Arabidopsis thaliana: one gene and its partner. The protein of the gene in region 2 interacts with the protein of the main gene of each other region in a pairwise test. Each region holds a gene or a part of one and is shown on either strand. Other genes may lie near its edges.

The links. The genes of interacting proteins can lie anywhere in the genome.
Region 1: the proteins of ABCI18 (region 2) and SUA interact in a two-hybrid assay, tested with the Arabidopsis thaliana proteins (one large-scale study listed by BioGRID).

What each region holds. Positions count from the first base shown.
Region 1 is NC_003074.8:20,071,217-20,079,147, reverse strand, and holds the start of SUA (suppressor of abi3-5), read right to left. Parts: upstream 6,047-7,931; 5' UTR 5,843-6,046; exon of another isoform or gene 5,746-5,842; 5' UTR 5,677-5,745; intron 5,350-5,676; 5' UTR 5,277-5,349; coding exon 5,229-5,276; exon of another isoform or gene 5,045-5,228; coding exon 5,004-5,044; intron 4,803-5,003; coding exon 4,088-4,802; exon of another isoform or gene 3,998-4,087; coding exon 3,926-3,997; intron 3,839-3,925; coding exon 3,746-3,838; intron 3,656-3,745; coding exon 3,576-3,655; intron 3,429-3,575; coding exon 3,275-3,428; intron 2,557-3,274; coding exon 2,472-2,556; intron 2,331-2,471; coding exon 2,239-2,330; intron 2,147-2,238; coding exon 2,078-2,146; intron 1,519-2,077; coding exon 1,339-1,518; intron 1,184-1,338; coding exon 991-1,183; intron 381-990; coding exon 1-380. Other genes in the region: SCR (GRAS family transcription factor), read right to left, coding at 6,523-6,952, 7,067-7,931. UniProt on the Arabidopsis thaliana protein: Splicing factor that controls alternative splicing of the developmental regulator ABI3. Reduces splicing of a cryptic intron in ABI3, leading to a decreased in ABI3-beta transcript. Regulates the splicing of the receptor-like kinase SNC4/LRKL-2.6.
Region 2 is NC_003070.9:989,126-993,669, reverse strand, and holds ABCI18 (non-intrinsic ABC protein 4), read right to left. Parts: upstream 2,565-4,544; 5' UTR 2,419-2,564; coding exon 1,924-2,418; intron 1,228-1,923; coding exon 979-1,227; intron 893-978; coding exon 818-892; 3' UTR 544-817; downstream 1-543. Other genes in the region: ABCI19 (P-loop containing nucleoside triphosphate hydrolases superfamily protein), read right to left, coding at 39-192; AT1G03890 (RmlC-like cupins superfamily protein), read right to left, coding at 2,762-3,139, 3,211-3,621, 3,752-4,017, 4,120-4,420.

The DNA of each region.
Region 1 (7,931 bases), on a different chromosome or scaffold from region 2:
TGAGGGACGTTGTATTTGGGTTTCATGGCTCCGCTGCTTCCACATTGTTAAAACGTTACTCATTTTTTTCTTGCTGGCGAGTAGGCTAGTCTTTGATGCAAGTTTTATCTCTTTCACTCTCTCTTTCTCTCTCTTCTCTGATGCAATTGCTGCTGCAGCAGCCGCCTGAACCGCATCTGGTAAGGACAGAACTTTTTCTACATTAGGGGTAGTAGCCGCCGAGATAATAACCTTTTGTTGACTGGATTTCTCCTTCTTGGCAGAGTCTGGTTGGTTTTCTGTTACTTTACTCTCATTGTTCTGATCAGGACAAGGAACATATTGTTGTGTTTGCTGGTCATACGAGTACCAAAGCCCACTATTGCTGTCATAATAGAGACCTGTATATTTAGAAACATACGATTAATAGAGAATATTACCCACTTCTTATACCAGTGAAACCAAGTTTCCCATCACCACACACCAAGAAGAGGTGCCTAGTGATAACCAAGATCATTAAAACAGTCTATCATTGTGCCATATCAGATGCGAAATTTTAAGGCACATACACATATATAAGAAGGCATAACTCAGCAATAACTAAAAGAAAAAACTTCCATTGGAAGTCCAACAGCAGCCATAATAGTAATCATATAACACTTGCTGAATCCCTACAGCCATTATTTAAAAGTCTAATTAAGACATACACTTGTATGATTGATTGATTGTATCTCGATGTTTGCTAGTTTGGTGCATACATAGTATAAGAATTCCACAATCATAAAAAAGAACAGGATAGTTTGAACAAACCAGAGCTGACGACTTATTTTTGCCAAGAAGTTATCCTATAATAGAATACATCTATAGCAGGACTATACAACCAGCCAACAGGATCAATCTTACTTTTGCCCATTACATGTTTTGCAATGCCAGATATGGGAATTAGAGCTGCAGCTACCCAACCATACAATCAATTCAAAGAAATAAATAACAATATAAGTAAATGCCGACCTGAATTTCCATCGTAGTAGTATCCAGAAGCCGCATCATAGTAATAACCAGATGCTTCATCCCACACATAGCCAGACTGTGGAGCAGAAGTCCCTTTCTGGGATTCAATTTCCCCAACACCCTGGGCCTGCCCTCCAGTGTTTTGTTTCTCACCAGTATTGTATTCCTTTGGAGCCCATCCAACACCGTCATACTAATAAGGACCAACATGAGTGTCAGGGCACATGGAGTAGAAGAATCATAAGAATGACAATCCTCATCTAAAGATACTGGAAAATTTAATTAAATGATCAATGTGTGATCACCAATACAAACGAGGGAAACTGGATCAAAACAATCTTCAAGTACCTGTTGAGAAAACGTTGCTGCTTCAATTGCAGCAGCAGCGAGGTTGTTGGAGTGCGAGGGTGCTGATATACCAGTTCCAGAACCATGAACACTCTTTGCATACGCAACTCTAAGAATTTTACCATTCCTTTCAAGAGCTGTTCTGTTTGTTGCTTCAAGTGCCTTAGTAGCATCCTCAACCTACACGAACATAATCATAATCTTCTGTTTCAAGTTGGTAGGTGGATTAAAAAAAAGTCAAATACACACATAAACTGGGGGAAAATAGATATTTGGACATATCAAGCAGTTCTACTACAAAATCTGATCACCGTTCAGATATGAAATTGGTAAGAGAATCAGTGACGAAATAAATAATCTACTACAAGAGCTTTTACAAGTCAATGCAAAAGGTGGTTGTCGAATGTAGATTATAAAAAAGTACGACAAAATAAATGATTGAGTGCGCTCACCACCAAACATTGCCAAAAATACCCACAAAACTAGTAGATCATGATTACTAAAGAGACACTTAAACATTTATAAAAAAAAAAAACTATAAAACATAATCACTCTTCACAAGCAGAATAAAAACCAGGTGGTACTGATCATCTAGACTGGGTTTCTAATTTCTACACAATCGAATAAATCTTTGATCAAAAGGCACACTTGCAATTTAAATCATCAGTAAGGGAAAAGCGAAGCAGAAGAGAGAGTTTAAGGAGTAAGTTCAACAACCAACTTGGCTTTGAGACCCTACCGAATAGAAATGCACGAATGCAAATCCTCGTGAAACATGAGTGAATTTGTCTCTCACAAGACGAAGATCCTACAAAATGGCGGAAAGAGGAAAACCAGGTCAACTGACATATAAAGTACAATATCTTAATAGACAACGAATCCAAAAGGGTTTTTGTTAACCTTGATAGGAGCATGTTTGGAAAATTCATACCGAAGCATTTCCTCATCAGCATCTTCATCCAACCCACGTACAACCAGGACATGAGTTGGACCTGGAAAAGAAAATAAGCAGAATGTATCTTAGGTATATATGGCATGTAGAAAAGTACAAAGACTATGGCCTTAACAGTTGCGACTGTTTCTGACTCAAGAAAGAAATTTAAAACATCTTAAATAAAAATGCTGATCAGAACCTGTCTCAGAAATTCGTTTTCCTGCTGCAGAGTTTGATAAACCTACATCCGCTGAAGGAGAATCCTTGGTCTTTGGTTCATTACACTGCATAAGGAGACAGAGATCACAGACATTTATGCAATGGCCACAAATTTGTTATTCCATATTATAACTGAACTTAGGACTTTTGAGTGTTCTATCATAAATCAAGACACAGACAGCGGCATGGCAAAGAAGGGCTACAGATACAATTGTCCACCACAAGATTAAACTATTGATAAAGACTTCACAGAGTTTAAGTAAATAGAAGGAAAGATAAATTAAAAACCCATCAAAAAAGATCAGTTAAAGGGTTTTAGTTGACTTCTTTTTTTATTGACATTTGAAAAATGGAAATTTCTCTATTTCCAAACAAACTATTGTATATGCAAACAAATACATTCTAGCATAGGTATGGACATCAATGTGTCGACATTAAATTAAAATGTTCATTTACCATTACTACCAAAATATGTATGCCACCCTAGTCTCAAACAAAGTGTCAATTGATGATACATATTCGTCACCAAAAGGAACTGCAAATAATCTCTAAGGAGCAAAAAACAGATATATTCTGAAAGTTTTATCGGTTCTATTTTTTTTAAGGTATTGTCGTCACCAAATCATGAGTAGTTATCACTTTGTTTGAGACTCTAGAATCACCAAACAATGAGTAGTTCTTCCGGTAATTAAATATATGTAATTTCTGTTCTTAACAGATGGGTTTATACTCTAGTCCTGACAATGAAATTTACAGAACTTTCATCCAAAACAATGCACCAACCTGAAAGCAAGAGGTTCGCCGCGCAAAATTGATACAGCCACAGATTGTACAGATCCAATCTGTGGGAACTATCATGTTTCGACTTCCACCATAACTGCGTCTAGAAGCATGTTCCTGCCTACGGGACACACCAGCCCTACCAGTAGGTTGGCTGCTACAACACACGCAATTTAGTGTAAGAATGTTATACTCTGATACTGAAACGGTCAAGAAACAATAATTTAAATGTGTAGTAATTCTATGATCCCTCCATAGGTAATATCTAAATCAATCAAAGTCTTATGTTTATTTAAAAAAAGACCTGTAATGGAACATAAGTTTCCTTCCATCCAAAACTATACCATCATGCTCAATTCTATCCATCATGGTGCGTGCGGCATCCTGCTCAGACAAAATACATAAATGCACACAGTGTTGAAGAAATCACAAGAAAAAGCGCAAGGAATTAACAGATTAGTTGAAAGCAAATACCACCGTGGGGAAATCAATAAAAGCAAATCCACGAGAAATCCCAGAATTTTGCTCCCGAATAACACGAACATGATGCAAAGGACCCCATTCAGCCTAGCATGCACATGGGAATAATGAAGTCATGCATGAAAAATTGTTTAAACCTGAGGACATACAGATTCAAAAAAATGAAGAGTTTACCAGAATCTGGTATAGATCTTCTTCTGTTGATTTCATAGAGAGACCCTTCACAACAACAGTGGCGGATGGGGTCTAGCAAAAACCATAAAAATATAGGAACGGATTTTTTAAATGTCTTCGCAACAAAAGAATATAGACCAGGGATGAGAGAATATTTTATACAGCAGAAAAATGATCCTGGTTATGTCTATCTTCATATTCTCTTCGCCTCTCACTTTCATTCCAGTGATCCCCCTCATAGCTGTCCTCCCGGTAACTCCGCCCATGGCTCCGACCTCTAGGAGATCTTGATCTAGAGAACTCCCCACGTCCGGTAGATCGAGATCGTGACTTCTCATATCTCTTATGAGGACTCTCATCTCTTTCGCGGCTGTAACATCTTTTGTCCCACTCCCTATCACGTGAATCCCATTCTCTATCTCGAGAATTCCGTTCTCTGTCCTGCGGATCACGGCTCTTTCGACTGCCATCTCTCACACTGGCCCTTTCATACTCAGAATCATAACTTCGGCGAGTATAATCATAATCTTTTTCACGACCATCATCTCTGCTATGATGGTAATTTTTCGATCTATAGTTGTTATCATTACAAGAATAGTCATCGCAGCCATCATATCTGGACGACCTTTCGTGTTCATGATCACGGTAATGTCCATTACGACTCCCAGCTTCACTATCATGATAATAGTCAGCAGCATAATTTGAATCGATGTAAGGCTTTTCTTGCCTGCGAAGTTCACTGGGATAATTTTCTTCATAGTTTCGCTTTCTAGATTGAGGCAAGTCACCCAGAGTATTATGTCCAGGTGGATAGTTGTAGACATCATCCCGCATCAACCTTTCATCAGGATATCCGTCATCATATGATACGCCAAACCTGTAAGAGCAATGTAGTATAGGTACAGAAAAGATATTAAAAAAATGAAATATGAACTATCATGAATATTTCGGCACAAGTAACCAAACCAAATAAAGTACAAGAAATACAATTTAGTTACAGTAGCTAAAATAAATATACCCCCATGAGCAATAACAAATTAACAACTACATCAATGTAATCCATTTTACTAGCACTCACCGATGATTTGGATCATGCTGAGTACCATAACCCTCCGGAGCCTGTGAATTGAAGAGAATAAGCTATGTCAGCAACAAACATCATTGACGGATATTACATTAGCCAAATCCCATCCACATCCTCACTCTCCCAAGTCTCTCACTCCACGGATGAGTTGAGATTCATAACATCCCTAAAAATATCTTGTTTATCATCCCATATATGTAAGGAGAAAACCACAATTACACTGTTATTATCCCATTCTTGCTGACGACCATATCGACTAGGATCCATTTCCGGCCAGTGCACCAAGCAAATCTTTGATGGTCTGAGAGAATATTCAAAGCTTAATATTTAAAGCTCTTTCCTGAAAATCACGTATAGAGTCTGAGACAGGTATATCTTAATGCATATATAATTAAGAATTCCCAACACTGATCACAAAGAGACTTTGTAGGAACTAGCTAGAGATTCTCTCACTCTCAGAGTAGAAAAACATGCATTGGCGATGAAGTAACAAAAGCACGAGAAGAATGCATACAACAGTAGAGATCATTATATTTTCAGCTGACGATTAGGCCTAAATTCTCAGTAATCGAGTCTTAAAAGCTATACAAAGTAACATACAAAAAACTTGAACTGGTCACATCCACGAAATCCTCAATAAAAAAGAAACAGGTAAAAATGAGAATACCTGTGATGAACTGAAAGCAGCACAACGACGCCGGACCAAAGACACCAGTGAATGGAAGATGAAGATGAGCTGTGATAACAGCGGAACAAAGACTTGGAATAAGAGATTGATTAATAGATAGAGCGCAAAATCAGGGAGCCGATAACCAGAGGTCAGAGAAACAAGCCTGAAACCGGTGACAAATCAGATACGCTGCGATCGATACAGAAACGAGAGAGCTCGAGCGATGAAGTAGCCGTATAAATCGGAATGGTTTCTACCGTGGGAACTCAAATTGAAAATATTCAACAGCGATCGATGAATTACAAGAGAAATGAATTCAGAGCTCCACGGTGGTGGACTTGGCCGAATCCAACTTTAACCAGATTAGGGTTTCGTTGTTGTTCAAGCGAAATATGAAAAGGCGTAGATGAGTTTTTTTTTTTTTAATTGAAAAATCCAAACATCTCAATTTCTTTGCCATAACAAAAATAAAAAACAACATGTATATATTTTTTTTTTGGAAAAAAGTAAACCAAAACAATTCAAGTTGCTAAAAAAAAAATACATAACAATTCCCAAAAAAAAAAATGGTAGCCTTCAAAAGAATTGTGTATTTGTAAATGATTTTTCAGTTAAACGTGTTATCATTTTTATTATTGATGTACCATTTTCAAGTGTTTTCTTCAATATCAAGTGTTCTAATCTTCATGATTAACTTCTATGTATTCCACCAATCAGGTAGCCAATACAGAGTGTGAGTGAGAACAATTTGACTTCAAAAAATCCTCTCTTTTTGATACATAACAAAAAAAAAACAGGTAAATCTATTTATGGGCACATTGTTTGTGAAAAAGGAGAAGAAAACTAAGAACGAGGCGTCCAAGCTGAAGCAGTGAGTAACGAAAGATCTTTCCATCCAAGCTTAAGTGTACCATTATCATCAACCAAAGTGTAACCATCCGAAGGAAACATTCCCAACAGTAGAGTCGCTTGTGTAGCTGCATTTCCAGCTAAAGATATACCTTTAAACCCACATTGTTGCATTTTCTCCCTCCAGCTCTCAAACTTCACTTCACCGCTTCTCGATGGTCCTCCAACCGCTAATACATTCCGTATCTCTTTCGATAATAGCTGCTGTTCCACGACATGTCTCTCTTCACTCTCTTCGCCGTAGCTTGCTCCCAGTGAGTCAAAGAGTGCAGAGTAGTAATGTATTGCTTCTACAAATCTTCCTAAGAAAGAACCAGCGTGGCTCAAATCTTGTTCCACTACTGTCACAACTTTAGGAGCTAATCTGTTCATTCCCCAATCATTAACCAAAAAAGCCACTTTTTAGAACATATCTTTCCTATATAATCTTAAAATAATTTATAGATAAAGAGTGATTAAAAGGTAATGTTTATTTTACCTTTGGAGTAACCAGAGAGTGTGTGCATCAGAGCCAGTGACATCATAAAGAGAATGTTGAAGCCAGTGAACAGCCACAGCTTCCCTTTTCCTCACATTGAGTCTCTCAGTGTCCAAGTTTCCAACTTTCTCAGCTAAAGGGCAGAACTCAAAAGGCAGGCCAAGCTTATCTGCGAAATCCGAAAGACGTTTCCCTGTAGCCTGAAGAGCTTCCATGGAAGTACCAAGTCCCGTGAGTCGCACGTGTGGAGGTCCTCCAGGTCTAGAAGCAAGAATGTGGAATAAACCAGGCCATTGAAGTCCCTGCATGATGTCCAAGTCAATGATGTGTACACTGTCTTCTTTCTCAAATGCTTCTTGAATCGCCTGATTCGCTGTAAAGTGTGAGAATTTCACTAAAGGGCTTATCCCATTAAAGACCTGAAACGCAGAGACCATTTTCAAGCTATGCGTTTGAGGCATCCACCGTGAAGGCAAAGCCGCGTAAATTCCGAGACACGAGTTGAGTAATCTCGCTGACATAGCTTCCGAGAAGTAAGCAGCTACTCTCTGCGCTGAGGTCCCGTAAGGAGTTGATAACTGAGAGATCTCAAGAAGAAGCTTGTTTGCTTCTTCGAGATTATCAGCAGAGACAGCTTCAGCACACTGTAGCAGCAATGTGAGAAGGTGTAATCCTTCTTCGTCTTGCTTCTGCCTCTTAATCTCTTCCTTCCTCTCTCTTAAAGCCTCCGCCGTATTTGTTTGGACGGCGGGAACAGTGGCCGTCACTGTCTCTGGTTGCGGTGGTGCATCGGTAGAAGAATTTTCTCTTTCTTGCTGCTGAATCGGAGGAGGAGGAGGCTTATGCTGTTGTTGTTGTTGTTGGT
Region 2 (4,544 bases):
TACAAGGAAAATCTCTCTCTAGAAATCGATCATCGTACCAGATCCATTGGCACCAACCAGAAGACAGCGAGAACCAGCTGGAAGATCGAGGTTGAAGTCGAAGAATATTGGATCCTCAACTTCGTATGCGAATTGCATACCGCTAACTCTAATGGCGTCATCGCCACTCGCCGTCGCATCTTTCTCCGCCATTTTTGCCAGTCTCCAAAAGCTCTCAAGCGGTCAGATACAAGGAGTAGGTAACGATTAGTTGGTGGACCGACATTGTTTACTTTGGTCAAATATGCAGTCCTTTAAATATGTTTCGTTCAACGCTAAATCCACGTCATACCAGTACCTTTTCGCCACGTCAGTGATATAACGATTGTATCTCTTTGCACGTCGCCACGTCAGTGTGCTGGTCATCACGCATCGTCAACCAAACGACAGCGTATAAGGGAGTACAAAATGTTTTTTTTTTTTTTTTTGTAATATTTTCTTGTACATTTATTTGCTTAGTCATGCAATAGCAAACAGATTTAGCATTTTAGTTTTACGTAGAAGCAAAAGTTGAAATTATGAAAAAGCCTTTTTGTATATATTAATATCTCAGTGATACAAATGATAATCGATAATGTAACAACGATGATTATAAGGAAGAAAAATAATTAAAACAGGGAGTGTGGGAGGATTACAAAGAAACACACATCAACTTACCATTAACATACATCAAAAAGACTGTTGGCTGACCACCATTGTTGTCTATTGTCTCGTGCTCTCAAGTCACAAGAAGATGAAGCCGGACTTGTCCAATAACTTAAATTTTACACTCCATTCATCAGAAAGCTGCCCAACCTGATGCAGCTCCTGTTGACTTGCTCGATCCTGATCCCGCCGTTGAAGGAAGATTTTTCTGCCGAGTATTACCAAATCAAGGATAATTTAGAGTAACCTTAGAGAATAAGAATAAATGTAATTAAGAAGACAAGGTTTATTTACCTTGAGCTGAGATAGATCAGATAGAGGCTCGTTCCTGCGTGATTCCTTGCAGCCATCAGATGCAATCCTTGAAGCGACGGGATCGTTTGGAGGAGGAGGTAAAGGAGACCTGGTTACTCCGGCAGCTTTGGGGGGTGGGGCAAGTGCTAGAGGTTTTGGCTTCCCCGTTCCTGAAAGAGCAGCTGAGAGCATCCCAGTGCCATTTGTTGTTGGTTTCGGCTTCACGTTGATTCTTATGGTTTCACCTTCCTTAAAACCCATCAAAACAACAATCTTTTCAGGTTCTACCAAGTCCAAATGCCAAGAATTTTCCTTTTCCGGATAAATGATGGAGTTCAATCAGAATTGAAATATTGATTCTACAGTTACGGTTCCCAGAGAAAGATATTGAGTAAACAAAATCAAATGAGTATGTTCTGCAACTACGAGTGGATGCTAAAACAAAACTTGTGATTATGAACCATCTGTGAAGACTAAAAGAGCAAAATCAAGACATATAGCAGCATCAATTTAAGATTAGAGATGATGAACACAACACAAGATCGAGAAAAATTAAGGCTGGTACTATTTACTCATCCTAATATCTACACAGAGCATACAAACTACAAAGATCTTCCACCAAATAACACTACAAATAAAGGAAATTAGAAAATCCAAATAACGAATAGCTAATCAATCTCAGCAGATAATGCATCCAAAATATTCTCATCACTGATACAAACACCAAGACCAAGCAACTTTTAGCTATAGCCTACTAGCAAGATAAGAACTTTGCAATGAGAATGATACTACAAAACGTATCTGAATCAATCAATTCCACATTGGATTCGATAGTTGTTTTTCCAAAATAGATCTGAAAGCTTCAATCAGATTTCTCCAAATTATCAGATTCCGCATTGATCCTATCTTAATTCCAAAAGCTAGCTTATGAACAGATCAGTTTACCTTCAATCTGTGATTAACGGCAGGATGGATATCAATATGATTATCGCTCTCACTCGTTTCCCCTGTCTCCTTCTCTTTCTCCCTCCTAACGTACTTTTCATGATCCGATAACGCAACATTGAAATCAAACGCTTCGTTCCTCTCAGCGAATCCTAGCCCGATAAACGCATACTTCCCTCTCCCGTCATCGATCCTGAGAACGAAATACCTAGACGAATCGAGAGACGGCTCTACAGAGTTCTCTCTACGTCCAGGATCCACAAAACAAGCTGCGAAAAGATCACCGGAATTCGAATCCTCGAGGCGGATCTCGCATCGATCCTTGCACGATACGACGCGGAGTCTACCAGACCAGATCTTATCGGATTGAAGCCATTCGCCGCACTTGTATCCGCCGGATGTGGTTCGCGGCGGGATCTTGTAAACGGAGACCTCACGCACCACGAGAAGTGTATGCTCGAATGTTTCCTCCTCTTCTTCTTCCTCGAACGACATCGAATCTCAGAGCCTCTCTCAGACGAGTTTCGGAGAAAGACGTGTGTGATCGTTGCGGACTTTTGAAAGCTTTACGAGACCGTAACCTTCTTCTTCTTTTTTTTATTAGTGTTATCATTATCCTTTCAATGATTTTAATTTAATATATACACTAATCAACGTAATCAAATTTAACAAAATAAAATCAACGTAATCATAAAAGCTAAGATGTGTATGTTAGTAGGAATTTTTAATCTGAAATTTTGTTATTGAAGCTTTGTGAAAAGTTGGTTATTAGTCTCATCTTTATTTATTTCAGTGACTGGAAAATCTAAAAAAACATTAAAGGAAGCAATTAAAGAGCTTAAGAAGAAGAGCTTGGTGTCATAGACAACATGGTCTCTTGCTGACTAAACTTGATCCTCTTGGCTTCTTCCTCGTTCACTCCATATGACGCTTTGATCACATCCACTGGAACTGCTCTCAAGTACGATGTTTGGCCGCTCAGTGTGTTAATGTAAGCGTTATCGTTTGTCTTGAATGATATCCACTCGAAACCCGTTTCACCAGCCGTTTTTGAAACTGCAAAGCCTTGTGGAATCACAATGATTTGGCCTTGTCCCACTTGCTCATTGAACACCGACTGACCATTGTCGTCCACCACTTGTATCTTGGCTTGACCTCCTGTGACGTATAGCACCGTGTGCGCGTTTGCCGTCCATTGTGGCAACACCATTCCTCCCTATCTCCACGAGAATTCATTATATAGCACATAAAGAATTTGTAAATCTAATTTAAAAGTGGGATACTTACGCTGTAGAGATAACCTCTAAGGGCGTTAAGTCTGACTAGACGTAGAACAGGGAGATTAAGGCTGTTAAGAGTGCTGATTCTTCCGGCTCGTGTGCTAAAATGGTCAGACCGTTCTGGATCATCGATATTCTCATGAATCTTAGCCGTGCAATAAGTCTCTTCGATGCCATTAGCAATGCCATCTTGCTGCCATTCACGAGGCGGTGGGATGACGAAATGGAGAGGACCATTTGCTCGGATTATGTTTCCTCTGTTGTCCTTCTGGTTTTGTAGTTGCTTAGCTGTCTCGATGTTGATTTTGAATGCTTCCGCGATTATGTTTGGGTCGAAACCGCTGAAAGCGTTGTTGCCTGATGGCCACGTTAATGGTTGTTCTTCTTCTTGCGTTCTGCTCCCGGCTAGTTGGAACATCTACATATGAAGGGTTCACAAAAAAATGACATTATGTGTTATATATATGAATCACTATTTTAATCACTGAGTGGTAGTCATATAGTTTGCATGCAGTACAAATTTGGACTTTCTTGAATTTGATGATTACCCTAGGGACTTGGTCAAGCTGGTTTTCTCTGTTGGTGACATCAAGAACAATGACAATGACGGCATCGGAATCACCGCGGTTGTACCACCACTGTGAAACTCCGGCAAGCGAAGCAAACACATCCCCTCGCCGGAAATTCTCCAACTTCTGGTGCATGTCCTCAAAACGTCGACCCGGGTCTCCTCCTCCTCCTCTTCCTGATGATCCTTCAACTTCTGCAAAAGTCTCAGGACAACCAGAAGCAATCGTCCCCATAACTCCTTCTCCTGAAAACAATTAAAATAAAAGACCACTTTTTTTAGATTTTCTATAGGTTGCGAGTTTTTAATTAGGTCTTGATCAAAAAGCGTATTTATTTATTTTCTTACCTTGGACAACGTAAGCAAGGGCAGGTGGGCTAAAGAAAGCGGGCAAGAAAATGGAATTGGGCTGAAGGGTGATGCGAGCCACCGTTACACCGGCGCATCGGAGCTCAGGGCTCATGTGGTCCCATACTTCCATCTGACCGGCTTCGAACTTCGTCGCCTGAGCGGGCGCGAGGCTGTTGATTTGGCTGAAATGGCAGGCGTTTGGAAACGGCGCCTCTCGCTGGCGTGCCTCGGCGCCATGGAAGAAGAGGAGAAATGAGAGTGAGACGACGGAGAGAAGAGAAAACAAAAGCTTATGCATATTTGGGTGTGTTTTGTTTTGTATAAGAAGTTTAGAGAGCGTCGTAGACTCGTAGGGAAAATGGTATTTAAAGGAGATAGTTAGTGTTTTATTCTGGTTGCATACAAATGAAAATATGTATTTT